Rattus norvegicus: one gene and its partners. The protein of the gene in region 4 interacts with the protein of the main gene of each other region in a pairwise test. Links are inferred from orthologs where the notes say so. Each region holds a gene or a part of one and is shown on either strand. Other genes may lie near its edges.

What was found. The genes of interacting proteins can lie anywhere in the genome.
Region 1: the proteins of Creb3 (region 4) and Slc30a2 interact in binary tests that used the Homo sapiens proteins (3 or more experiments, as listed by UniProt). The two-hybrid records come from large-scale screens. The link is inferred for Rattus norvegicus from reciprocal best matches to the Homo sapiens genes CREB3 and SLC30A2.
Region 2: the proteins of Creb3 (region 4) and C11h3orf52 interact in a two-hybrid assay, tested with the Homo sapiens proteins (2 studies listed by BioGRID and IntAct). The two-hybrid records come from large-scale screens. The link is inferred for Rattus norvegicus from reciprocal best matches to the Homo sapiens genes CREB3 and C3orf52.
Region 3: the proteins of Creb3 (region 4) and Gja1 interact in binary tests that used the Homo sapiens proteins (3 or more experiments, as listed by UniProt). The two-hybrid records come from large-scale screens. The link is inferred for Rattus norvegicus from reciprocal best matches to the Homo sapiens genes CREB3 and GJA1.
Region 5: the proteins of Creb3 (region 4) and Bik interact in a two-hybrid assay, tested with the Homo sapiens proteins (2 studies listed by BioGRID and IntAct). The two-hybrid records come from large-scale screens. The link is inferred for Rattus norvegicus from reciprocal best matches to the Homo sapiens genes CREB3 and BIK.

What each region holds. Positions count from the first base shown.
Region 1 is NC_086023.1:151,842,001-151,846,751, forward strand, and holds the start of Slc30a2 (proton-coupled zinc antiporter SLC30A2), read left to right. Parts: upstream 1-1,450; 5' UTR 1,451-1,523; coding exon 1,524-1,573; intron 1,574-2,180; exon of another isoform or gene 2,181-2,231; coding exon of another isoform or gene 2,232-2,242; coding exon 2,243-2,451; intron 2,452-4,468; coding exon 4,469-4,615; intron 4,616-4,751.
Region 2 is NC_086029.1:68,628,081-68,632,870, forward strand, and holds the start of C11h3orf52 (similar to human chromosome 3 open reading frame 52), read left to right. Parts: upstream 1-1,489; 5' UTR 1,490-1,538; coding exon 1,539-1,673; intron 1,674-1,830; exon of another isoform or gene 1,831-4,790. UniProt on the Homo sapiens protein: Has a role in LIPH-mediated synthesis of 2-acyl lysophosphatidic acid (LPA). LPA is a bioactive lipid mediator involved in different biological processes, and necessary to promote hair formation and growth.
Region 3 is NC_086038.1:36,300,989-36,305,864, forward strand, and holds the start of Gja1 (gap junction alpha-1 protein), read left to right. Parts: upstream 1-1,575; 5' UTR 1,576-1,758; intron 1,759-2,768; exon of another isoform or gene 2,769-3,586; intron 3,587-4,876. UniProt on the Homo sapiens protein: Gap junction protein that acts as a regulator of bladder capacity. A gap junction consists of a cluster of closely packed pairs of transmembrane channels, the connexons, through which materials of low MW diffuse from one cell to a neighboring cell.
Region 4 is NC_086023.1:62,616,264-62,619,763, forward strand, and holds the end of Creb3 (cyclic AMP-responsive element-binding protein 3), read left to right. Parts: intron 1-264; coding exon 265-371; intron 372-469; coding exon 470-538; intron 539-1,135; coding exon 1,136-1,220; intron 1,221-1,306; coding exon 1,307-1,391; intron 1,392-1,466; coding exon 1,467-1,789; 3' UTR 1,790-2,219; coding exon of another isoform or gene 2,220-2,456; 3' UTR 2,457-2,756; downstream 2,757-3,500. Other genes in the region: Gba2 (non-lysosomal glucosylceramidase), read right to left, coding at 2,220-2,456, 2,807-2,998, 3,082-3,197, 3,277-3,419. UniProt on the Homo sapiens protein: Endoplasmic reticulum (ER)-bound sequence-specific transcription factor that directly binds DNA and activates transcription. Plays a role in the unfolded protein response (UPR), promoting cell survival versus ER stress-induced apoptotic cell death.
Region 5 is NC_086025.1:116,550,752-116,555,603, forward strand, and holds the start of Bik (bcl-2-interacting killer), read left to right. Parts: upstream 1-1,551; 5' UTR 1,552-1,650; intron 1,651-4,852.

The DNA.
Region 1 (4,751 bases), about 89 Mb from region 4:
GCTACCCTAATCCAGTCCTTCCTCCATCCCCTTGAGACAAGGTCTCATTCTAGCCTGGGCTACACATGGCCATAGTCCTTCCTTCTCCCACTCTGGGCCCTGGAGATAGCCTCCAAGGATTTATTGACCAGTCGACCAATGAACTACACCCCCCCACCCCCACCCCCACCCCCGTTATACTTAACAAGCTGTGGTCATGAAGACTCTAGGAGAAGGAGTGACTGAGCAGGGAAGTCATCAACCGGAAGGAGATACCCATCAGCAGTCAGTACTGGGGTGTGGGGGAGGGCGAGCCATAGGGCCCAATCCCCAAGAGATAGACTGTTTAGAGTACATTGGGCAAGCGGAGTACAGTGGGCACATGCCTTTAATTTCAGCACTGGAGAGGCAGAAGCAAGTTTGAGGCCAGCCTGGTCTACAGAGCAAGGAGAGTTCCAGGACAGCCAGGGTTGCACAGAAACCTTGTCTCAAGGAGAGGGGGGGGGGGGCAGAAGGACGGAAGGACGGACATGTGGGGCGTGGTCTTCTCGGTTGAAGGTACCACGCCCTCTCAGGAATTTTCGGGGCTTCTGGGGTATACAGGCTGCTGCAGTAAGTCTGTTCTGCCCAGATAGCATCGATTAAAAAGACAGGACACTGTTCTTTGTAGAGGTAGAGATAAAGCAGCTACTCCAGATCGCAATCAGAGAGTGCAAGGCAGGAGGAACTTTCAAAGTGGATCTGTAACTCCAACTACTGCAGTCCGTTGGGCACGGCCCCAGCAAAGGGCTGCAGCCACAGGGCAAGAGCACCAGCCCACTGTGGGAATGTCATTCCCTTGAATCAAGAATCAAACTCCAGGAAGTCTCTCTTCCCCTTGGCAGCCCCCATCAAAGCTGCTAGTAGTCACATCCCTGCCCTAAGGGCAATCAAAGAATTTTCTTTCCTTTCGTTCTGCCGGTTGTTGTTTGGTTGGTTGGTTGGTTTTGTTTTTTGAGACATTGTGTAGCCTTGGAACTCACTCTGTAGACCAGGCTGGCCTCGAACCCAGAAATCTGCCTGACTCAGCCTCCGCATTGCTGGCATTAAATGTGTGTGCTACCACACGGGGCTGATTTTCTAGAAACCCAGATTCCAAGGCTTTTTTTTTTTTTTTTTTAAATTCCTATGGGATTCTGGGAAGAGCGGGTGCTTTGGTCACCTAGTCCTATCTTAGCAACTCTGGGCAACTCTTAGCAAGTGCTTTCCTCTTTGCTCCAGGCAAAAACTTTAGGTCGCTGGCCTCTCGGCTCCTTCAGGCTCCGGACGCAGGAGACGGGTCCTGGGGGCAGAGCAGCGATTCCCTTTGCAGCCGGCCGCCCTTCCCCCTCCCCGCGGGCTTTTGCACACGACGCGCTGCGGGCGGCTTCACACGAGGTGGTGAGGGCCGGGGATAAAGCGAGCGGGCGCGGGGCGCAGAGGCAGGACCAGAGCTGAAAGTAGAAGGTGACTGCGAGCTGCCATCGTCCCGCGCGCAACTTCGAGGGCTCACCGGGAGAGGTGGCATGCAGACCATGGACAAGCAGAACCTGCTGGAGAGCACGCGCGGAGCCCGGTAAGTTCAAGCCCCAAGGGGCGGGAATCTGGGCGGCATCACACGCACCTCCTCTTTGACCATCTTGGCTGTGGTTGGTCTGGGCGGGGGCTTGAACTGGGACCCGATCAGAGGGATGGGGTGAGGCAAGAAAAAGGAAATTGGCAGGGACCTCGTAGCCTCAGGGATCACCTGTCTCACCTGGCCAAGCACACAGATCCTGAACGCTGCCAGCCCGTGCGCCCGAGTAGGACCTAGGGTGCCTGGAACCCCGCCTTCACTCCAGCACTTTGATCCCGGGTAGCCCTGAGGTGGGGAGGCCCTGTGCCCTCGGGTGCGCTGAGCTATGGTCTTTAGCTGCTGTCTGAGCCAGAACTCTGTTCTCTCTCTGAGCTCGACCGGACGGACTGCCCTTTGGCTAGTTCGCAAAGACTCTCCTCAGCCTGGGGATGGGTGGAGGAGGAGGGGACCATCCTAGAACAAGGTCCCAAGACTTACCTCCCCAGTACCACCCCCACCCTCCTCGTAACATTGGCTGCTTACCTCTGCTTACCCGCCAGCCACTGCGGCGTTTGGAGTGTTTTTACTTGTTCTAGAAACTTCGCACCAGCCATAACACCAGAGACTGGCTCAGGGCTGCCTCCCTGCCTCCGGCCAAGCAATTTTTTCTGCCCTAACCCTGGCCTCCAGGTCTTTCTTTGGAGCTCTGTGGAAGAGTGAAGCTAGCCGAATCCCGCCTGTGAACCTGCCCTCTGTTGAACTGGCTGTCCAGAGCAACCATTACTGTCATGCGCAGAAGGATTCTGGAAGTCACCCCAACTCCGAGAAGCAGAGGGCCCGACGCAAACTCTATGTGGCCTCTGCCATCTGCCTGGTGTTCATGATTGGAGAGATTATTGGTAAGGCCGTGTGTGGGAATCAAGTGAAGTTGTTGCGCGGATAGGCCGAATGCTCACATCAATGCTAATGGCACTAATAGCCACCCCAGTTTAATCGCTTAATTCTCTCTCTCTCTCTCTCTCTCTCTCTCTCTCTCTCTCTCTCTCTCTCTCAGTAGCCTTGGCTGGCCTTGAACTCATGTCTCTGTCTGCTCCTCGAGTGCTGGGATTCATGGTGTGTGACACCACAACCACCAGTATTCATTTGTTTATTGTTTTTTTCGAGACAGGGTTTCTCTGTGTAGCCCTGGCTGTTGTAACTCCCTCTTACGCCAGACGGGCTTCGAACTCAGAGATCTGCCTGTCTCTGCCTTTCATGGGCCACTACCGCTGGGCTAACTTTTTTTTTTTTTTTAAGGTAATCTCTTGGCTAGAGCCATGGCTCTGTAGTTAAGAGCACTGGCTGCTGTTCCAGGGGACCTGCTTCCCAGCATCTACCTGGTGGCTCATGGTCATCTGTTATTCTAGTCCCAAGGAATCAGGGAATCAGATGCCCTCTTGTGGCTTCAGTGGGCACCAGGCATGTGGTATACATATATACATACATATATACATACATACATACATACATACATACATACATACATACAGGTAGGCAAAACACATACACTAAGTTAATAATAAAAGAATTAAGAAGAGCCCCTACTGAGGCCTGAACTGGATTTTCTGTCAGTTGGGATTAACGTCTGAGACAATCTGCTGAGGTGCATATTGAACTAAACAAAGTGAACCTGGCCTCCAGGTTCTCCCAGCATCCTTCAGTCTCTACATGGCAAACTCTGCCTTCAACCTGAACTTTCTAGCCCAGGGGGCTGAACTTCTGACCCCAGAGGCTCGGTCCTGTATAATCCAGACATTTCGGTACCCTGCCTTCCTGCCTTCTTGTCTTCTTGTTCATTCTTGTTTGTTCTCTCTCTCTCTCTCTCTCTCTCTCTCTCTCTCTCTCTCTCTCTCTCTCTCTGTCTGCACACTAGAGTGCCACCTGCTTTTTCTTCCCCCTCCCGTCTCCCTCTCCATGACAACTTCCCTGACCCTCACAGGGACCAGTGAACTCACCTGAGTGGTTTCCCAATAAACCTGCCTTCATATATACTTTTAATCTGCTTGAATTAGCTAACTTCGCCAGTGGAGAAATGACTTACCACTTTCTTTTGTTTCTTCCTTTTTTTTAAAAGAAGATTTATTTATTTATTTATTTATTATATGCGAGCACACTGTCATTCTCTTCAGACACACCAGAAGAGGGCATTGGATCCCATTACAGATGGTTGTGAGCCACCATGTGGTTGCTGGGAATTGAACTCAGGACCTCTGGAAGAGCAGTCAGAGCTCTTAACCACTGAGCCATCTCTCCAGCCTGTCTTCTTTTCTTTGAACTTTTTTTTTTTTAAGTTAGATGGAATTTTTCTCTGTAGCCCTGGCTGTCCTGGAAGTCATTCTTTTTTTTTTTTTTTTTTTTTTTTTTTTTGGTTCTTTTTTTCCAGAGCTGGGGACCGAACCCAGGGCCTTGCGCTTCCTAGGCAAGGGCTCTACCACTGAGCTAAATCCCCAACCCCCTGGAGGTCATTCTTTAGACTTAAGGCTGGCCTCAAACTCATAGAGCTCCACCTACCTCTGCCTCCTGAGCGCTGGGTTTAACGGTTTTTGCCCCCCTCCCACACACACACTGGGTTCTTCCTCTGTGTATCCCTGAGGTGGCTTGGAACTTGGCTTTGCCTCAATTCAGTGACTTGTCTGTCTCTGCTGGGATTAAAGGTGTGTTCCACCATGGCCTGAGCCTGGGAGTGGACGTGAATGAATTCCACAGGAGTAGTTGTGACTCAAGAGAAGAGGTCAGGTGCTCATGTTGTACTGAGAGGTGCAGAGACCCTGAACCCAATGGGCCTCATCTTCCAGGGCTGATGGGCTCTCTGCTGTGCACTACTGGGGGAGCTGGCCCTCTGGGGGAAACTCACCGCCCTGGCTCTCAATTCCTCAGGTGGGTACCTGGCACAGAGCTTAGCCATCATGACCGACGCGGCCCACCTGCTCACTGATTTCGCCAGCATGCTCATTAGTCTCTTCTCCCTCTGGGTGTCCTCCCGGCCAGCCACCAAGACCATGAACTTCGGCTGGCAGCGAGCTGGTAAGGATCCTCAGTGGACCAGAGATGGGGTTGATCAAGAGAAAGCATGTGGGGCCTGGTATGGTTCTTTGTTTGTTTAGAATTTTAAATGTTTTTTTAAAAAAGATTATTTATTTATTTTATATGACCACACTGT
Region 2 (4,790 bases), on a different chromosome or scaffold from region 4:
GCTTCTGGTTGTTTCTGTGAAATTTGAATTGTCAAGATTTACTTTTTTTTTCAAAGTCTTGTAATGAATGTTTTTGAAGAGCTGTAAGTCTAGAGTTTTCGCTCAACTCACTCCGTATTGGAATAATATTTTTCTTGTCAGAGGTCAGAGTTAACCACAGCAGCAAACAAATAAAATGGGATAAAAAGCATATTGGAGGAGAAGTAATGATACTATTATTAAACAGATCTCAGAACACACTGCACGGATCTGCAGAGAAAGTACAATCAAAAAGGAGAGAGAACAGGAAACGTTATTTTCCAAATTAGTAAAAATGATTGAAAAGTTATGACTACCCCGCGATAATGAATATTTCCAGTTCACAGCGCTTGGTTTGAGTTTCTAAAATATCTTTCCTTGGGATTAAGGATAAACATCACAACAACACCATCTCTCTGGTGGCTGGTGATAAAACCCAAGGGTAGGGCCATAAACGTGGGCTGGATGCCTAGAGCTGATAGAGACATTTCTAAATATGTTCTCAATATTTCTGGAATCCCCAAACTGGTCTTAATAACTGTCTATGTGGGAGGAAGGCAATGGGAGGGGGGCAGTGGCTCTGAGAAGAAGGTCTAGCTAGAGGCAAGATCTTGGATCAACACCCAATACACACTTTGCTTTGCAAACGTTATTTTGGGCTCACTAAGCCAGCTCTGAGCTATGCATGGGGTGCGGAAGGCATTGTATGCTTCCTGACACACATACTTTTTTTCTCAGGTGGGGTGTTTATGATCCCCTCCTCTCAAAGATAAACAATAATTAGTAAATCAGTAATGAATTCTGCCAGGCACTGTCTTCTGGCCTGAGAAACACAAGCATATGGGGAGCTAACGCCGTGCTGATTGCCCTTATTACTCTCAGCGATACTGATACTGCCCTATGCCTGAATCAGGTGGAAGGGGAACTTTGGGGCTGTATATTATTCATCTTCCTGTGCTCAGAATCCAGGATGCTGCCTGTCACCCAGAAGATGATTCATAGCTGTTCGTTGATTTGGTAGATGATCCCTCGCTAGACAGAACTGGAGTAAGTTTCAGCATCTCACCGGTTCAAGTAGAAGGCAAAGTTCTGGGAACTGGCCCCCGCCCCCATCCCCCAACCCCCAAACCAGCCTAGCCCTTCCTTGCCACAGTCCAGCTTGCAGTCAGGCCTTGGGAGACTGTCTGCGGTCTGTATCCACACTGAAAAGCATTGCAGGTTGCACCCTGAACAAACCAGAAAAACAGCCTTCTTCTGCTCTGAGCCCAAGGCAGCAGGGTCCCACCCGCATCTACCTTTCCCGAGAGCAAGGTCAGCTAACCAAAGCCAGAGTGCTCCCACTCTCTAGCTTCGCCCCGCCCCTCCAGGTCCGCCACCACAGGTCTATCTGGCGCCGCCCGAGGTCTACCTGCCACGCCTGGTGGGTGGAGTGTGAGCGGAGCAGTCTCCCTGTGCTGGACTCTGCACCCTTAGGTGCTCGCGTCTTGGCTCTCAGTGGAGCCTCGGTCTTCCGAGTTGCCATGGAAGGGTCCAGGACCCCATCATCCCGGGAAGAGCTGGAGCTCTCGATAGTGGAGGGGCAGCAGGAAGAACTGACGCCTCTGAACAGCCTTCAGATCCAGCCTTGCTCCACCCAGGACCCTAGCCCCGCACAGGTAAGGACTTAGGGTTCTGGCGTGACAGCAGGAAAGGGGCTTGGCACCGCTTATGGGCGCGGGAGTGTCCTTCCATCGTCCGGACATGCTGAGAAGGGGAGGTTAAAGAATGCAAGAACTTTTGGAATTCCTTAGACCGTATCCCTTCATTTCTCAGACTCGGACCCCGCCTAGAGACTCTTCAGGAATCCTGTAGAAGGGCGTGGCTGCTCCTTTCAAGGGAGAGCAAAAGAAGTAGAGGTGGTGTTTGAAAGTTATGTAACTTTTAACTTGTTTTTCTTTCCTTCTCTAATAAAATTAAGAGTGATGGATTGAATCATATTGTCTCTCTCCCTTCCCCCACTTTCTCTCTCTTTCTCCTGTCCCTTTCTCCCCTTCCCTCTTCCAACACCCCTCCCCCCAGCTACGACCACCTCTAGCAGTATACAGTCAACTGTCTCCTACCTCTAAGTCCTCCGTGCCCTCCCCCCACCTTCAAACACGTCTTACTTTCTCCCACTTTTGTCATTGCTTCCTCCGCACTAAAAACAGGTAAAGAGAAGGAGGAAAGCTGCTGAGGTTAGACTGAGGGGTTGTGGACTTGCCTGCTCAGTATAAGGGAAATAATATCAAAGTTCTTCCTAAGAACTAGCCTCACTCTCTTCTCTTCTAAGGACTTCTCTAAGGAAGTCCTTAGGGGTGTGTCTTTTCTGATGTCATAGCTGAGCATTAGCCACAGATCAAATACTTGTAAAACATCAGAGAGTTTGAATACTGAACCACTTCTTCTGATCAACTCCAAAGGTTTGCTTAAGTTTTCCTGGGTACACTAGATTCTCTGGGCACTCGACCTCCATCCCTCTTCTGCCCAAGTTCTGACTTTAGTAAAAAATTCAAAGCTTGAAAACATTACTCTGTGTCCACAGTGATTCCTGGAAACACGGTGTGACAATGTCTTGCTTCATAGGTATCTTGGAGACTAAGTTGGCTCCTTATGTCTGCATGAAATAAGACCACAGATGAATGGAGTTTGGAAAGTAATGGCTGAAGGCCAGTGCAAGAAGCCATAATCAGGAACTTTCTGTATAATTCCCCAGGGCAGGGATTAGGCAAGAGAATTAGAAATACTTGCCTCAAGGTGGGGGTGAACCTGGAAGAAATTGGAATAGGGATGAATATTATTTTTTAAATACATTATGCAAAATTCTCAAAAAATTAAGAAAAAATGTAAAGGAAAATAAAAATTCAAACAAAACTTGTAAAAAAAAAAAAAGAAAGAAATACTTGCCTCTAGTTAGTCAGGTGCAGCACATCCCCAAAGATTGAGGCATTTTCCAGAAAAAAAAAAAAGTGTGTGATCCCAGAGAAGGCTGTGAAACAATGTTAATATCATATGCTCCATTTAGGCTATGGGAGCTCTAGACTATTTGTGGACAGCAGCTGAGAACTGGGTATCAGAATTTTATGATGGCTTAGGGCCTGCCTTGTTAAAACCATGCTTTGGTGTCCTAGTGACTTCCTTGTTAGTCAGATGTATGCAGATGTGCCAGACTTCCTCATAATTTGGCTTTGTAGGTTACTAAATAGCAACATTTCAATAACTGAGAGAATGGGGTAAGGGTAGAGAACCTGAAGAACCTTCTAGAAATACTTGAGTCATAGCATTTTAATAAGGAGAGAGAGAACAAAACCTCAAACCCTTCCCTAACATGTTCGCCATCCTCTGACTCTGTAGAATAGGTTGAAACGTGTTTCATCATGAAAAGCTCAATCAATGAGGTTCAGAAAGAACTGACTAGCACAAGCACATGGTTACACGCTTACCAATTGTGTGTCACCATCTTAAGTTGTGTGATAATAGTTCTGACCTTCGTGCTTATTTAAGTAGTCCATACACTTTCTAAACCACACGTTTTGTACCTATCGCTATTATGTGCAGCGGTGTAAACCATAAGTGCAGTTAATTATTATCAACGTTGAGGGAACTGCCCTAGTTAGCATTGAACTGTCAACTTGAGATAGCCTAAAAATCACGTGACAGGAGTCTCAGCTGAGTAACTGTACCGGGTTGATCATCGATCTGTGTGGATGTTTGTAAGGGATTATCTTGATTATCAATTGATACAGAGGATCCAGGCTACTGTTGGGGATATCATTCCTAGGCGAGTAGTCCGGGGCTAAAAGAAACTGGTTTGGCATGAGCCAGTGTGAGAGCCAGTTAACAGCATTCCACCATGAATTCTGCGTCAGATTCCTGCTTGAGGTCCTGCCCTGACTTCCCTCAAGGGTGGCCCGAGACTTAGAAGTATAAGGCAAATAAACCCTTCCTTCCCCAAGTTGCTTTTGTTCAGTGTTAAATCCTAAGGGAAAGAAATGAAAGTGGAAGAGGGAGGATGCTAGTTCTCTTGTTTGAGAGATGAAATAGCTCAGGGAAGAAGCTGAAGCTCAGAGATAACAACCTAATGGCGCAGGTTCACTCAGTGCCCTGAAGTTCAGATTCGGTGTCTTTCAATGTCTCAGGTCTACATTGTTCATCAATTTTAAGAAAACATTACGTTGATTCTGTCTCTGTCTCTGTCTCTGTCTCTGTCTCTGTCTCTCTCTCTCTCTCTCTCTCTCTCTCTGTGTGTGTATAAAAGTTGGGCTAGGAGTATATGAACAATTTGTCTCTCTTTCTTAATCTGAATTGGAACGTAGAGGGAAAGGAATGTAAACCATCGAACACAACGTTGTCTATTGTTACTACAGGTTAGCACCCTTGGGCAAAATATTGCAAAAGAAACTGTAGGTAAGAGGGCGAGACTGAGTGTGTCTTAGAGCTCATGACAGGGGCCCTGACTCAACATCCCAGAGATATCTTAGGTGATGGCATCATCGTTGTATTAACTAATAATATTCAGTAAATTGACTGCTCTGTGGTAACCAAGGTTTATCTGCGTTATCAAATTAGCCCTATTTTTTTATGCATTATTCGATGTAGTACAAGAACCAATTGGCTTTTCTGTCCCTAGATGAAGTGTGTGGATCAAATGTGAGGATATGAAAGTGCAGGTTTTCCTGTGCATGGACTTCCTGTTACTGCTGGTTTGTTTGTTTGTTTATAATAAACTCTCCTAATTGAGCCAAGAAGAAGACAAG
Region 3 (4,876 bases), on a different chromosome or scaffold from region 4:
TCTCTAAGTTCACTTTCCAGATGGAAAACGGGGTCCAACGTTCACAAACTGTCTTCAAATTTCCACTTGCACACACATATGTGAATACACACATTTGATAAATACATGTTTAAAAAGTCTAATGTCACATCTCTGGACATAAAGCATTGAAAGTCAGACTACAGTTTCTGCTTCTGTCACATTGTTTCCCTTCTTTAAGTTAAAGACAAACCTCAAAAGTAAGAGAGCTCGCTGGGGTCTTAAACTGTGAGATTTCAAGTGGTGCCTCCTTAGGCATTCCAGCCAGGCACGGGAAAGTGTTTCTACGAAGTCTTTGCCATCCTTTGTTCTGCTGTTTGCCTTAGAGTGAGATGCTCAACCCAGTCAGGTGATGCCTGAACAAAGGCCGAGAGATTTCCCTGCCTAACCCCGGGAACACCGCTGAAGCCTGTTTATTGCCCTGCCATAAGCCCTCTTGGAGGACATCTGGGAGCCCTCAAAGGAGCTGCCCACCCTTAGGAATGAGGTTATATGACTCAGTCCTTCATAAACCCCGTCAGGTATGATGAGAAAGCCATGAAGTTGTAGGCAGGCGGTCACCAGGCAGACGTCTCTCCCCTGGATGGGCTTCCTAGGGACATGATCGAAAGAGAGGAGGAAGTTTTCAGACTGGCTTTATGCTAACATAATGTATCTGGAAACTCTAGTCTGCAGTTAGGAGGAGGAGGAGGAGGAGGAGGAGGAGGAGGAGGAGGAGGAGGAGGAGGAGGAGGAGGAGGAGGGAGGGAGGGGAGGGGGAGAATTTTGGCATCTTCCTGCCGATTTAAATGCTAAATTGTAGTCATGAATAGGACTGAGATAGGACGTTCACTTCCTCGGAGACTGGGTAGAGGTCAGTATCAACGTTTCAGTCCAAAGTTACCTACATGATATTTTTCATAATACATAACATCTACCTTCCTGTTCTTAATCGAAGGAATACACAAAACTATCTAAAGCAGCAGAGAAACCGACGAGTAGACATACCCCTCCACTGGGGCTGGTTGTGAAATGCCTTTCCCATGCCCACCGCCTTTTTTCCTTTGTTAATTGTCCGTGTTTAAGAGGAGGAGAATTAGGTCATAAGAAAGATCACGCACACCCACCTCAAGCTTCACACACCTTGGGGAACGCAGAACAAGTCTGCACGAGTTGACCTTGTCCCCCCCGCCCCCCATTTTTATTTATTGCATTTTTTTTTCATTTAGAAAATGTAACACGAAAGGTACGTCTTCTCCCTCCCCCTGGTCATCCCCTGAAACAAGCCCTACTACACCCAACAGTATTTTATCTGTGAGGAGTCACAGCCCTGCAGTGGCCGACGGACAGCTAGAGCTGTTTTCTCATATTTTTTTCCCTTCTCGTCAGCACATTCAAACTACAACTTTATCTTGACCAGGTTGCTTCTGCCTGCTCAGCCCCACGTTCGTCAGCCTCCTCCCCACCTTCTCCCCGCCTTTTCTTCCTCCCTCCCCTTTCTCCTGGCCCCTCCTTCCAGTTGAGTCAGTGGCTTGAAACTTTTAAAAGCTCTGCGCTCCAAGTTAGAAAAACGCTTTTACGAGGTATCAGCACTTTTCTTTCATTGGGGGAAAGGCGTGAGGAAAGTACCAAACAGCAGCAGACTTTTAAACTTTAAACAGACAGGTCTGAGAGCCTGAACTCTCATTTTTCCTTTGACTTCAGCCTCCAAGGAGTTCCACCAACTTTGGCGCGCCGGCTTCACTTTCATTAAGTGAAAGAGTAAGTTTTGATAAAAAACCCGCTTTTACCTAATAGCGTCTCTTTCTGTCAGGAAAACTCTTGCACTGTGCTTTGTAAACGCGTTGCGTCTTTGGCTTAGGATATCGTAAGTAGAACGATGGTCTTCCAAGTGTCTTTGCCATTTCCACGTGCTGGTTTATATTTTGATTGTTTAAAAAGTTCCGCTGCTCGTGCAACAGGTAAAAGGCTCAAACTTTTTCCAGCTAGAGTGAAGGACCAACTTCCTAGACTTGGTTCTTTGTTGTGGAGCCTAATTTTCACTTTTCTGTAGTCCCTGATGGAGAAGGTGCTGCGGTGGGAGGGAAGGGGGGGTCCCCTCCGTCAACTTTGCCTAGCCTGCTTCCTCTAGTGCAGGACACTGCAGGCTTTTTCCTTTTTCCTCCTGAAAATCCCGTCGGCTGTTCTACAGCCTTGAGAAAGCTGGCTCCTTTTGTAACAGTGCTTTGTTGAGCCCCTGCCGCAGCAGTTGACTTCCACGTGGTTCTTCCTTAGCCTTTTTTCTGGATTAAGCCAGAAAATACGTAGATCGGGGTGCTGCGGGTAGGGTTTTTAGACCAACAGTAGTTACTTTGTGCGAGCCAGCGCGGTGCTACGGGACGAACCCCTCAGCCCACACAGCCAGCTTTTTTTTTTTTTTTCCCCTCCACGCTGGCAACTGCGGGCGCGAGAAATCTTGAATGGGTGGTGGTGACTTGGGGAGCGTTAGAGGAACCGGCGTTAGAAACAGTGTGTGCCAGGGTGCTTTTCCAAAACCAACTGCTAAAACCCAAGCTCCTAGAAGGAATGGGGAAAAGGGAATTTTGGAGCCGCGCTTTAGAAGGGGCTGCCCCCTCCCCACCCCCACCCCCCTTCGCCTGCCTGCCCGGACCTGTAGGGACTTCAGAGCTGTTGGGACAGTTTTGAATTAGCTTCTAGAGGGTGCAAAGCACTAAGCAAAAATGATGTTAACGTGCAGTTTAAAGGGGATCCGTCTTAAAGCTGTTATTTTTTTTCTTTATTTTTAAATTGGTAACACATTCTGTAAAGCACTTTGCCCAGTCTTCATTCTGTCCGGCCTAAATCCACACCGAAACGACTCAGGGTGGGTCTGTAGTTTTGTTTGGTTGGTTTTTTTTTTTTTTCCCGTGTACCAGACGGGCCGAGTCCTTTTGAAGTGAAAACTTTAGGGCAGAGGGTGGCACGGGCCCTTCCTGCCCAATCTTAGCATCATCCCGGGCTCGGCTCCCCGCAGCCTTCCGGCTTCGCGGTCCAGACCGCTGCCTGCGACGGAGGGGGGTTGGGGGGGAGGGGAGGCGAGCCTCGCGGCCGGACCGTCAGAGGCAGCAAGTGGTCGACTTTATTAAAGTTGTCAATCTGAAGTCTCTTCCCCTGCCCTCCGAGACGCCTTTTCGTGGTTTCTCTGCCTAAACTTGTCGGGTGGCTGAGTGGAGCCCCCGGGAAGGTCCCCTGAACACCTAGGGAGCCCGGGTGCTGGTAAATGCACTTGTAACACTCCTGGAAACTCTTGAAATTCCCCAAGAATGAGGCGGGGCGGAAGAAGGAGGGGCAAAGAAGACCCTTCGAGAAACCGTGCGACAGCTACTGACGTGTGCTGAGGCAAATCCGTTCAGGATTGGAAAATTCAAACCTTGACTTCCGAGCAGAGTTCTCCCCGTTAGTGCCCTCGGGTCCACCCAATGCTCACTGGGCATCTCTGGCAGAGCCTTGGCCGAGCACTCGGCGGCCCGCGCCCGGAGGTGAGCTTCCCTTTCCCTCCCACTACTGGGTTTTGAGGAGAGGAGAAGAGCCTACAGGGCCGACTTTGGAGGTGGGTTTGATTTCCTTTGTTCCCCAAGCACAATAGTAGTGACTGGAAGGTAGTGAATCTTACCAGTCCAAAAAGACCTCTGGGCAGCAACCTTGAATGGTCAGTAGCTTCCCATGAGGAAGCCTGAGGTTAATTTTTTCTTTTTTATTTTCATGAGGATTGATGAAAATAAAAGTGTGTTAAAGTAAACGAGGGCATAGACTGCGGGGGTGGGGTCGTACTAGTTAATTCTGCTGGGTAGGCCAAGTTGTGTGGAAATGAGCGCATTTACAGGCTGTACTTTCTGTCCTGGAGAGGTGTTGAACTCTGGATTACTGGAATGCACTCCCCGGTGTGTGAAAGCTTTGTGCATCTAGATTCGGGTACAGTGGGCTACCTGTCCCTTGCTGGGGTTCCAGGTGGTAGTGCTTTGGTACTCCACTGTCTAAACACACACCACATAGATGTTCTTCAACGTTGTCCCATCATCCTTTGAGGTTGGGATTCTTATTATTGCTGACCTTCCACGGGGAAATGTGGTTCTAAAGCCAGCAGCAAGAGGGGAAGGCTGCGTTTCCTTCCGCGAAGGGAGCAGAACTTGGTTGCTTAGCCGTCTTCAATTCCTGCAGAGAGAAGGGATAGCAGATACTCTGCTTTGCTTTATCACCGTATTGCAGAGGTGCAGTTCATGTGAATTGTAGAAATTTGTATGCCCCGAGGGAAGGGAACTATAGGAAAGTCACCCACTGATTAATACCTCGAACTCCACCTATCCTGATCTTCTACCTTCCCTTCATGATTCTGTTTGACTTCTGATGTGTCGAGGCTTATCCAGCTCACTAAGGAGAGAAATAATCATCTTGGGTGTGTCATCCACGTTTGCATTAAGTGTAGATGCTCCTCCCAAGCTTAAACATTCCTAGCTGCTTCTAAGTGGGAGGGTACAGATGTGTGTGTGTGTTGAATTCTTGGGAGAACTGGTTAAAATCTCCACTTTCCACAACTGTTAATGTACCATAAAGAGATGTGTGAGCAAAATGCCTTTTGCCAAAATCCAACCATGATTAGTTCTTGAAGTAACTGCCTAAATTCACGTCTCAATTTTCTGGTTGTCTACGTTTTTTTAGAAACTCTGTTGTTCCAAACAGTTCTAGTTTACTGCTTTGCTGCAGGAAAAAAAAAAGGATACCAAAACTAGAAGGCAGGATGAAATAAATTTACAGTACTTTTGAAAGAAAGAACTAATATTTTATCATAGTCTTATAATCTCACTCTTGCTTATTGAAGCAAATAGAGTCAAGCATACTAAGC
Region 4 (3,500 bases):
ACACATTATACATATACATTATACAGACATGCAGGCAAAACACCTATACACATAAAAATAAGAAAACTCTGGCTTTTAAGTGCTGGACACGTGTCCTGTGGAGATGTCCACACAGAAGGTGAATGCCTATTGGCAGAAAAGCTGTGGAGAGAATTTCATTGGGAAGGTTAGCTGCCATCCAACACACCTATGTAATATGTAAAGGTATGACATACAGGCATATAATGATATCCCATGGGTGACCTTTTCCCTATCTTCTCTTAGGTGGAGGAACAAGTTCTAAAACGAGTACGGAGGAAGATTCGTAACAAGAGAGCAGCTCAAGAAAGCCGCAAGAAGAAGAAGGTGTATGTAGTGGGGCTAGAGAGCAGGTAAATGGGCATGGGGGAAGCTAGAAACCTAAGGTTTCGAAGGGAGGACACACAATATTTGGATATCCATGTGTCCTTGTATCCATGTTGTCCTCCAGGGTCTTGAAATACACAGCCCAGAATCAGGAGCTTCAGAACAAGGTGCAGCATCTGGAGGAACAGAATCTGTAAGTGGCCATTTGAAGCCATTCATGTTTTTAATGCTTTTTTACTCTTTCCCCTGGTCCACGCGACTTCTAAATGCAGACATCAGAGTGATGGAGAATAAACTTAAAGGTAGCTAAGGAGCAGTAAGTACCAAGTTAAAGAAGTAAGAAAAGGCTGAATGCAGGTCATCAACATCAGAGCGGTTGCAGTCATGGGCATGGGACTCGGAGAAGACACATATTGTGCTTGGCTGGACACTAGCTCTGGGGGGTTGGCCCAGGGGTAGAGAACACAGTGCTGGGTGAGGCATGCAGAGTTTAAGGCATTAGAGAGCTTAAAATAAGAAAACTCTGGCTTTTAAGTGCTGGACACTTGTCCTGTGGAGATGTCCACACAGGAGGTGGAGTTTGTTTAAGTCAGGGCAGAGAAGTTTTACTTTTTGTCTCACTAAGGGATCACAGGCATTTGTGCACAATAAAGTCATTTGGGGAAAAAGGAGCAAGGAAGCGGAGGCTGGGTCCACAGCACCAGTGGAGAGGGTGGCTTAAACAGGAGGGTTTCACTGTGACTTGGACACTAGGCCGGAGCATGCCCACCAGTTTCCTCTCTTCTCTTAGGTCCCTTCTAGATCAGCTGAGGAAACTTCAGGCCATGGTGACTGAGATAGCAAACAAAACCAGCAGTGGCAGCACTTGCGTTCTGGTGAGGAGGGGGACAAGAGACACTTTCCTTGGCAGGGCTGGGGTGTATGACCCAGAGCCCATCACCTCCCTTTCCCTGTGTTCTAGGTCCTCCTGCTGTCCTTCTGCCTTCTTCTGGTACCTGCTATGTACTCCTCTGATGTGAGGGGGAGTGTGCCCGCTGAGTATGTTGGTAAGAGGCTTGAGGCGTGGGCTGTGGTAGAGGGCTTCTTCTGTGTTGTCTCCTGACAAGTCTCTTTCTCTTCAGTGTTGCACCGCAAGCTTCGTGCCCTGCCCAGCGAGGACCAGCATCAGCCGAAGCTGTCTGCCCTACAGCCAGAGCTACCAATGGGCAGCACAAACCAGTTGGAGAGCTCAGAACATACATTCCTGGCCCCCAGCAATGTTTCCTGCCTGAACCACATGGCTCAAACAGAGCAACCCCCGCACTGGCCACTCCTTGATCTTTCTTCAGAGATGCCCTTCTCAGGCTCCGACCTTCTCCTGCAAGCAAATCTTACAGAAAGTGGAGGATGGCTCTCTACCCACAGCCCTTCTTCGATCATCTTACAGGGCAGGTATTCAGGTTAGGTGTGAGGATATGGGGTGTCCTCAGCCCAAGGACTCCTGTCTGTATTCACATAAAAAGGAGTAGGGGAGAGCCAGCCTTTGCTCACGGGCCTGTTAGGATGCCCAGGAACTCACCACACTAACTAGTTGTATGAGCATTTTATTTATACCCATGTGTATCTGTTGTCCCATGAATAGATTTGGAGAAATTTACTGGCCTTGAATACTTCATCCACAGAAGGAATGGGAAGGATAAGAAATAAATAAGTGGTTCCTCAGCCCCTTCTTACTGGCACAGCGGGGTAGGAAGAGGAGGGGCATGATTGTCCTATTGGCTCAGGGCTGCAGGACTTGTGGGAAGAGGCAGGGAAGCCCCGTGCGGAGGCTGGGCCTCCACAGCTCAGTGGGATCGCTCTGGACGTAGGTTTACAGTGATCTCTTTGGTCCGCATTCAGGCTGTGCTGGGTGCTGTGCCTTGTGTGACTGCTGGCCGGCTGCTGTTCTTTTTATGCTGCTGCTGTTGAAGGGCCAGCTGCATGGCCCAGATGCTCAGGGGCCGCATGTAGGCCAGGGAGCGGAACACTCGCTGCTGGCAGTATGCCTCTGGGGTCTGGAAAGCCAGGCCCAGGCGTTCCCATACAGTGCGGTAACAGCCTTCAGCTGTCCGGAAACCTTCCCAAGTCAGGCCCTGTAGGGAGAGGTAGAAGCCACACATAATAGCTAGTTCTCAGCACAATTTCCTTAGCAGATAAGGCAGTAAGCTGTTTGCCCTAAAGGCAAGAACTTAAAAGGCAAGAGGTGGAAGGCATATCCGGGAAGAGGGAGCTCTGTGGATGGGTAAGATGGCATTAGGTGGGGTTGGGGATTTAGCTCAGCGGTAGAGCACTTGCCTAGCAAGCGCAAGGCCCTGGGTTCGGTCCCCAGCTCCGGAGGGGGGGGGGGGAGATGGCATTAGGTGTTCTTGGAATAAACTGAATGGCTGAGGAAGTCTTCTGGACTAAGGTACAATGGTGAGGGGATGGGAAGAGAGTACATTACCTCTTGGATCATGGTGGCTGCCAGCCCATAGACCACGCCCACCCAAACTTCATCAGACTGCACACTGGACCTATCAGGGACACCATGAGGCTGCATCCCATTCACAGCCCCCATGGCTCCTCCTGCGAAGGCTTGGACATTGAGCTCAAAGATGGTTTTGAGAGCACGGACAACATGCAGGGTAGGGAATACCTGGAGGAACGGCAAAGGCGGAGTCAGACTTGCCTCCCACCTCCAGGGAAACCCACACTTCTCTGGGTCTTCTACTCGCTCACTTCAGTGTCTCCTTCTCCCAGGCCGCAGGCCCTCAGGAACCACTGCCCAGCACACTGGTCAGACATGACGCTGCGGGACTGTGGCTGGGAGCTGCTGTCGTAGTTGTAATAGCGTCCTGGAATAGAGAGGGAGCAGAGTAAAGTTGCTGTATCCTGAGGTTGGGTTTTAAGATGCCCCAGGTTGCTTTTACTCACCGTTCCAGAGCAATCTCTCATAAGCTTCCCGGCCTCGGCAGAGAATGGAAGAAAACTTATCCTGGACATCCTGGGCCCCACACAGAACGGCCATCTGGACCATCACAGCCACAGCTGCCAGCCACAGCCCTCCGCAGTAAGCACTGGTCAGGGACAGCAGCTGGGGTGAGACTGGCAGCTCCAGTCCCTCCCACACATGAGCACTACCATCCTAACATGCCCGG
Region 5 (4,852 bases), on a different chromosome or scaffold from region 4:
AGGATAGCCAGGGCTACACAGAGAAACCCTGTCTTGAAAAACATACAAACCAACAAACCCCTCCAAACAATGAATTCTTGCTATATTACCCAGAACTGACCCAACCGACTTCCCAGCCTCCCCAGTCCCAGGGATGAGTCCTTGCACTGGCCTCCCATTTGGTCAGCATGTTGCCTTGGAGATCCTGCAGGCTAAATATTTTCACTCACCCTCTCCCCTGGGCCGGTAAATCCCAGTCTGACCTCAGACTGGCCTCCTTCCTCCATCCAGTCTTCCGTTTAGGGAACATTTACTATGTGCCTGGCATTGTGCCTCCAGAGGCCCTAGCACACATCCTCAGACCTGTCAGATCTTTCTGGTCCGTGAGACTCCTTGTTACTGTCTCTCTTCTCTCAGTCAGTTTTCTGCAAATTCATCTGCAAAATGCACTGGCAGAGAGGCTTCAAGTTTTCCTGTCCGGTCCAGGCTGTGGCAATCCCTGATGGCTAGGACCAAAGGTCAGGGTTAAATTCGCTTCTGGGCTTGGAGGTGACAGAAGGACCACAAAACTGCTAAAGGTCTGGGTGGCAGGTTTGAAATGCCTCTGAGTTGGACCCTCTAACATGTGAGGGGAGGGGCTGTCTCCTTGTGTCAGGAGAACATTTAAGGAACCCCAAGTATTACCTCTCTCCGCACAGGAGAGGGAAGAGCCCAGTTTACTTGACCAAGCACGCAGCAGGAGGCACCTGCCCCAGACCCTGACCTCTGCATCACCGAGAGGAGCTGACCTGGGATAAACAAGCTTTGTTGTTATATAGATAGTGGTTACTTTGTAATTCAGCCAGCCCTACATCAAAACACACCTCAGAGCCCCTAGTCCCGGGAACTGGAGACTGAACTCCTCCCACTTCACCTGTAATTCTAGATTTCACCTCCTACGGATCCCCTTCCTACACCCTAAGTCTTAGCTGGAGGGCTGGGCGAGCTCCGCATTCACCGGGAGAGAGGAGAGAGGAGGAGGGGGCAGGGGGTGGGTGGGGAGAGACTGGGAGGTGCAGCGGGAAGCTTGTAGCAGGCAGGCAGGAGCAAAGGGAAGCCGTAGGCTTCACCCCTGGTTTCTGGGAAAAACTTTCGACCTTCGTGAAGATTTAAAGACACCCAACTCCCAAGTGTAACAGCCTGAAGAGCGCGGAGTTCTGAATATTTGCTTCACCCAAGCCCTCGTCCGTTCTGAGCCTGAGTTTCTACGTGGGTAAGTGGTCAGGGAAAAAAGCACCGAGCCTTTAGTACTGTGAGGATTAAATAGGCAGCCCTTGCTAGGATTCGGCTACGGCGATGGCAGAAGCGGCATCTACGAATACTCGGGTGCGGAGAGCACACTCGCAGATGCACTGGCACGGACACTGTGTCAGGTCCGCAGGCGACGGAAGAACGTCTGCAAGTTAACGACTTTTAAAACAGCGGTTCTGCAGCCACTATTTAGCCAGGGATTTGGAGCCCCGGAGGGAGGGGCTAAAGGGGAGGAGCCGGACGAGCGCGGCCACCTATCAGTGCCCAGCCCGCCGCTCACAATAACCCGCCTCCAGCCAGCGCCCCCAACTCAGCCACCCGAGTCTGGGCCGAGAGGTGTTCGGGCAGCTCGCCCGCCGCTACGCCAGCTTAGCCGGGCAGGTAAGCGCCCGGTAGCCCTAGCCCAAGTAGCCGGAAGGTTGGGGACCCGTGTTCAAATCCCTTGGTAGCCCCGGCTCCGAAACGTCCCCTCCGCGTCTCACACCCCAGAAGGTGCTAGCCGCGTCCGCGTGTCTCGCTGCGCTTCCGTGCACTGGGGTGGCCCTTGCGTCCTGGCTCCAGGACTTGGTAAGCAAGTGGCCTTGGCTGTCGCCGTGCCCTCGGTGTCGGAAACTTGGGGGAAGCAGCTCGGGACCAGGGCGCGGCACTGCCACAGTAGGGCGCCCAGGCTCTGCCCCGGGCGCAGGCGGAAGATGGCGTCCGCACCTGTCTCCGCGAGGACCTGGGAGTTCGCATCTGTCCCTCCCTTGGGGATCCTGGGATCCGTACCGTTCCTGCCGCGATCTGGTAGTTTACACCTGTCCCCGATAGAATCCAGCTTCGCATCTGTCCCCTCTGGGACCCCGGGACGCACGTCTTCGAGGGGTGGCAGAAAGGCCTTCTTAGGCGACCTGGGTAGTTTAGTCCATCACTTTCTCGAAGCTCCTCGCCACCTTCCGGTGCCGAGGCGCAGGGACCGGGAGGGGATCGGAGGGTCCACCAAGGTCATCTGTGTGCTTCCCAGAGTACCACCCACAACCGACACCGGGGGCTCAGTACTTCTGTCACTTTCGCTGTCCTCTCCGGCCTTGTGGCCTTGCGGATGCATGCGGATGCAGGTGGTTTTGTAAACTTAATTGCAGTTTTGAAGTGCACTGAGCCACCCCTGCAAAGTGTTGTTGTTTACTGTTGTCGCTGCAGGTGATAACACTGTTACTGTGGTCTGGAGCCAGGTGCAGAGCTCTCTAGAAGGTTGGTTTCATACCTGCTTTGGGGTGTGGGGGTGGGGTTGTCAGTGAACCTTAATCTTAACCTTTGGGGAGCAGGCTTCATTTCAGACAGAGTAACGGGCATGTGTTCCAGCCGCCACACAGAGCGGACTCCCATAAAGGCTGGCTCCGTCAAAGCCTGGAGGGTTTTCTTGGAGGCCATACCAACCTCTCTACTTGTGACCTGCTTTCCGTTCTGACTGTGTGGCTTTCTAGAGGTTCCTCCACCATTCTGGACCTCAGTTTGTTGAGTTTTTGAAATGTATCCTGGTTTAACCTGGAGGGGAGGGACCTCACCCAAGAAGCCGCTGAGCTACTCAGCAATGCTACCTTGATTTCCGTTCTGTTTGGGCGCGATTACTGTTGCCGCTTTACCAGTATCCACTGAAGGCTTATCTGGGGCCCTTGGCTGCCTTTGGATCTAGTGTCCTGCCTAGGGCAGGTGGCACTCTGACCTCCCAGCCTTGCCCCTCCCCACGCCTCACTCCCCCCTCTCCATATTCTCCCCTCTATACTCCAGGATTTGAGGCATAGTCTCAGGTAGCCTAGGCTCGCTATGTAGCTGAGTTTGGTCTTGAAACTCCTGATTCTCTTACTTTCCCCGCCTGAGTCCTAGGATTCCAGGTACAGTTATTGTGCCCAGGTTATTTATTTGTAGCTAGGGATGGAACTCATGGCCCTGTGCCTACTGCCATTTTTCTTTCTTTTTTTTTTTTTTTTCCGGAGCTGGGGACCGAACCCAGGGCCTTGCGCTTCCTAGGTAAGCGCTCTACCACTGAGCTAAATCCCCAGCCCCTACTGCCATTTTTCTTAAGGCCTCACTATGTAGCAGGGCTAGCCTTGCATTCTCCATCCTCCTGCCTGCCTCCAGAGTGTTGACTCTTCGTCTGCTTTCTGTTGCTAATAAGATGCAATGCCTCAGGTCGAGTCAAGTTATAAAGAAGTGAAATTTATTCTGGGTTCGTGTGGGGTTGAGGGGTCATATTGGATGACGCCCTCTCTCTGGCAGATGACAACATACATTGTGCATTTTACCCACCTCCTAAAGATCTAGTCTCTAAACCCCACAGTGAAGTCGAGTTTCCCCCTCCAAATACCTCACGAGGGGGATTAAATGTCAAAGCTCCAAGCTTTGGAGACCCCCCCCCCCAGTCATATCTAACCACAGCACCTCTCCTTCAAGGTCACAGAGCTGACACTGACCTTGGCTGCTGTTTCTCTGTTGTTCCTGCAGAGTTAGGTTTTAAAGGTTGTTCGTGGTTTGCTCTTTTGTATTTTGGAGACAGGGTCTCACACTTTATAGACCAGGGTGTCTTTGAACTCTCGATTCTCTCACCTGAGATGCTGGGGTCATGGGCCTACGATACCAAGAGTATTTTTTTTTTCTTACCTCAAAATCTGCACCTTGCCTGAGGATGCTGGCTTCCAGCCCAAGTTTGGAAATGCAGAATGTCATTTTCCAGCTTGGTGACAAACTTGTGTAACTTCGGTTCTAAGCTGTCCCCTAGTTAGCATTTTAAAGTTGCCTTTTGTTTTGATTCTAGACCTGGGGATGGGACCCTGGGCTTTGTGTATTTTAAGTAACACTTTACCCCGGAGCCACAGTTGATCCTTTTCTGTAGCAATGCTTCTTCAAGCACTGGGAGGTTTATAAGAGACCATCAGAGTGATACAGCCCTGTCCCCATGGGTGTCTATGTGGCTCTTCATCTTCTGATGACACCTTCCCTGACAACCCCTCCACGTCTACCCTTCCTGTCATTTCACCCATTCGTTGTCCTGTCCTAAACCCTTGGCTGTCTGAAATCTCACGAATTCGTGTCCTGACCTTCTGTAGCCTGCATGTTCTGTGAGCCAAGGAACATCACAGGAGAGCCCGTCATAGCCTGGACTCTCTCCGGGTGGAGAGGTTACCTGTGTGCTGGTCACTGTGGGGTGGGTGATATACAGTGATGAAATCACTGAGAGCAAAGAAGCCCGAGACTGTGGACTGGAGATGTAGCTCAGTGGCAGAGTTGCTGGATATTACACACAGATTCCTGGGTCAGCTCCCAGGGATGGAGGCCAATACTAGCTCGAATTCGGGAAGGAAGCAGAAGTTCAAGGTCATTCATTCTCGGCTGCATATTGAGTTGGAGGCCAACCAAGAATACAGGAGACCCTGTCTTGAAAGAAAAGAAAAGAAACAGGGTACAGTTGGCCCTCCTATCTTATGTTTCTTTCCCGCCTCTCTTAGGAGCAGGGCAGGGATATTTGGAAGGCCATATTGAGCTGTCTTTTGCCACAGACAGAATTCCCCCCTCTCCCTGGAAAGCGTCCTGTTTTCAGTGAGTTGGT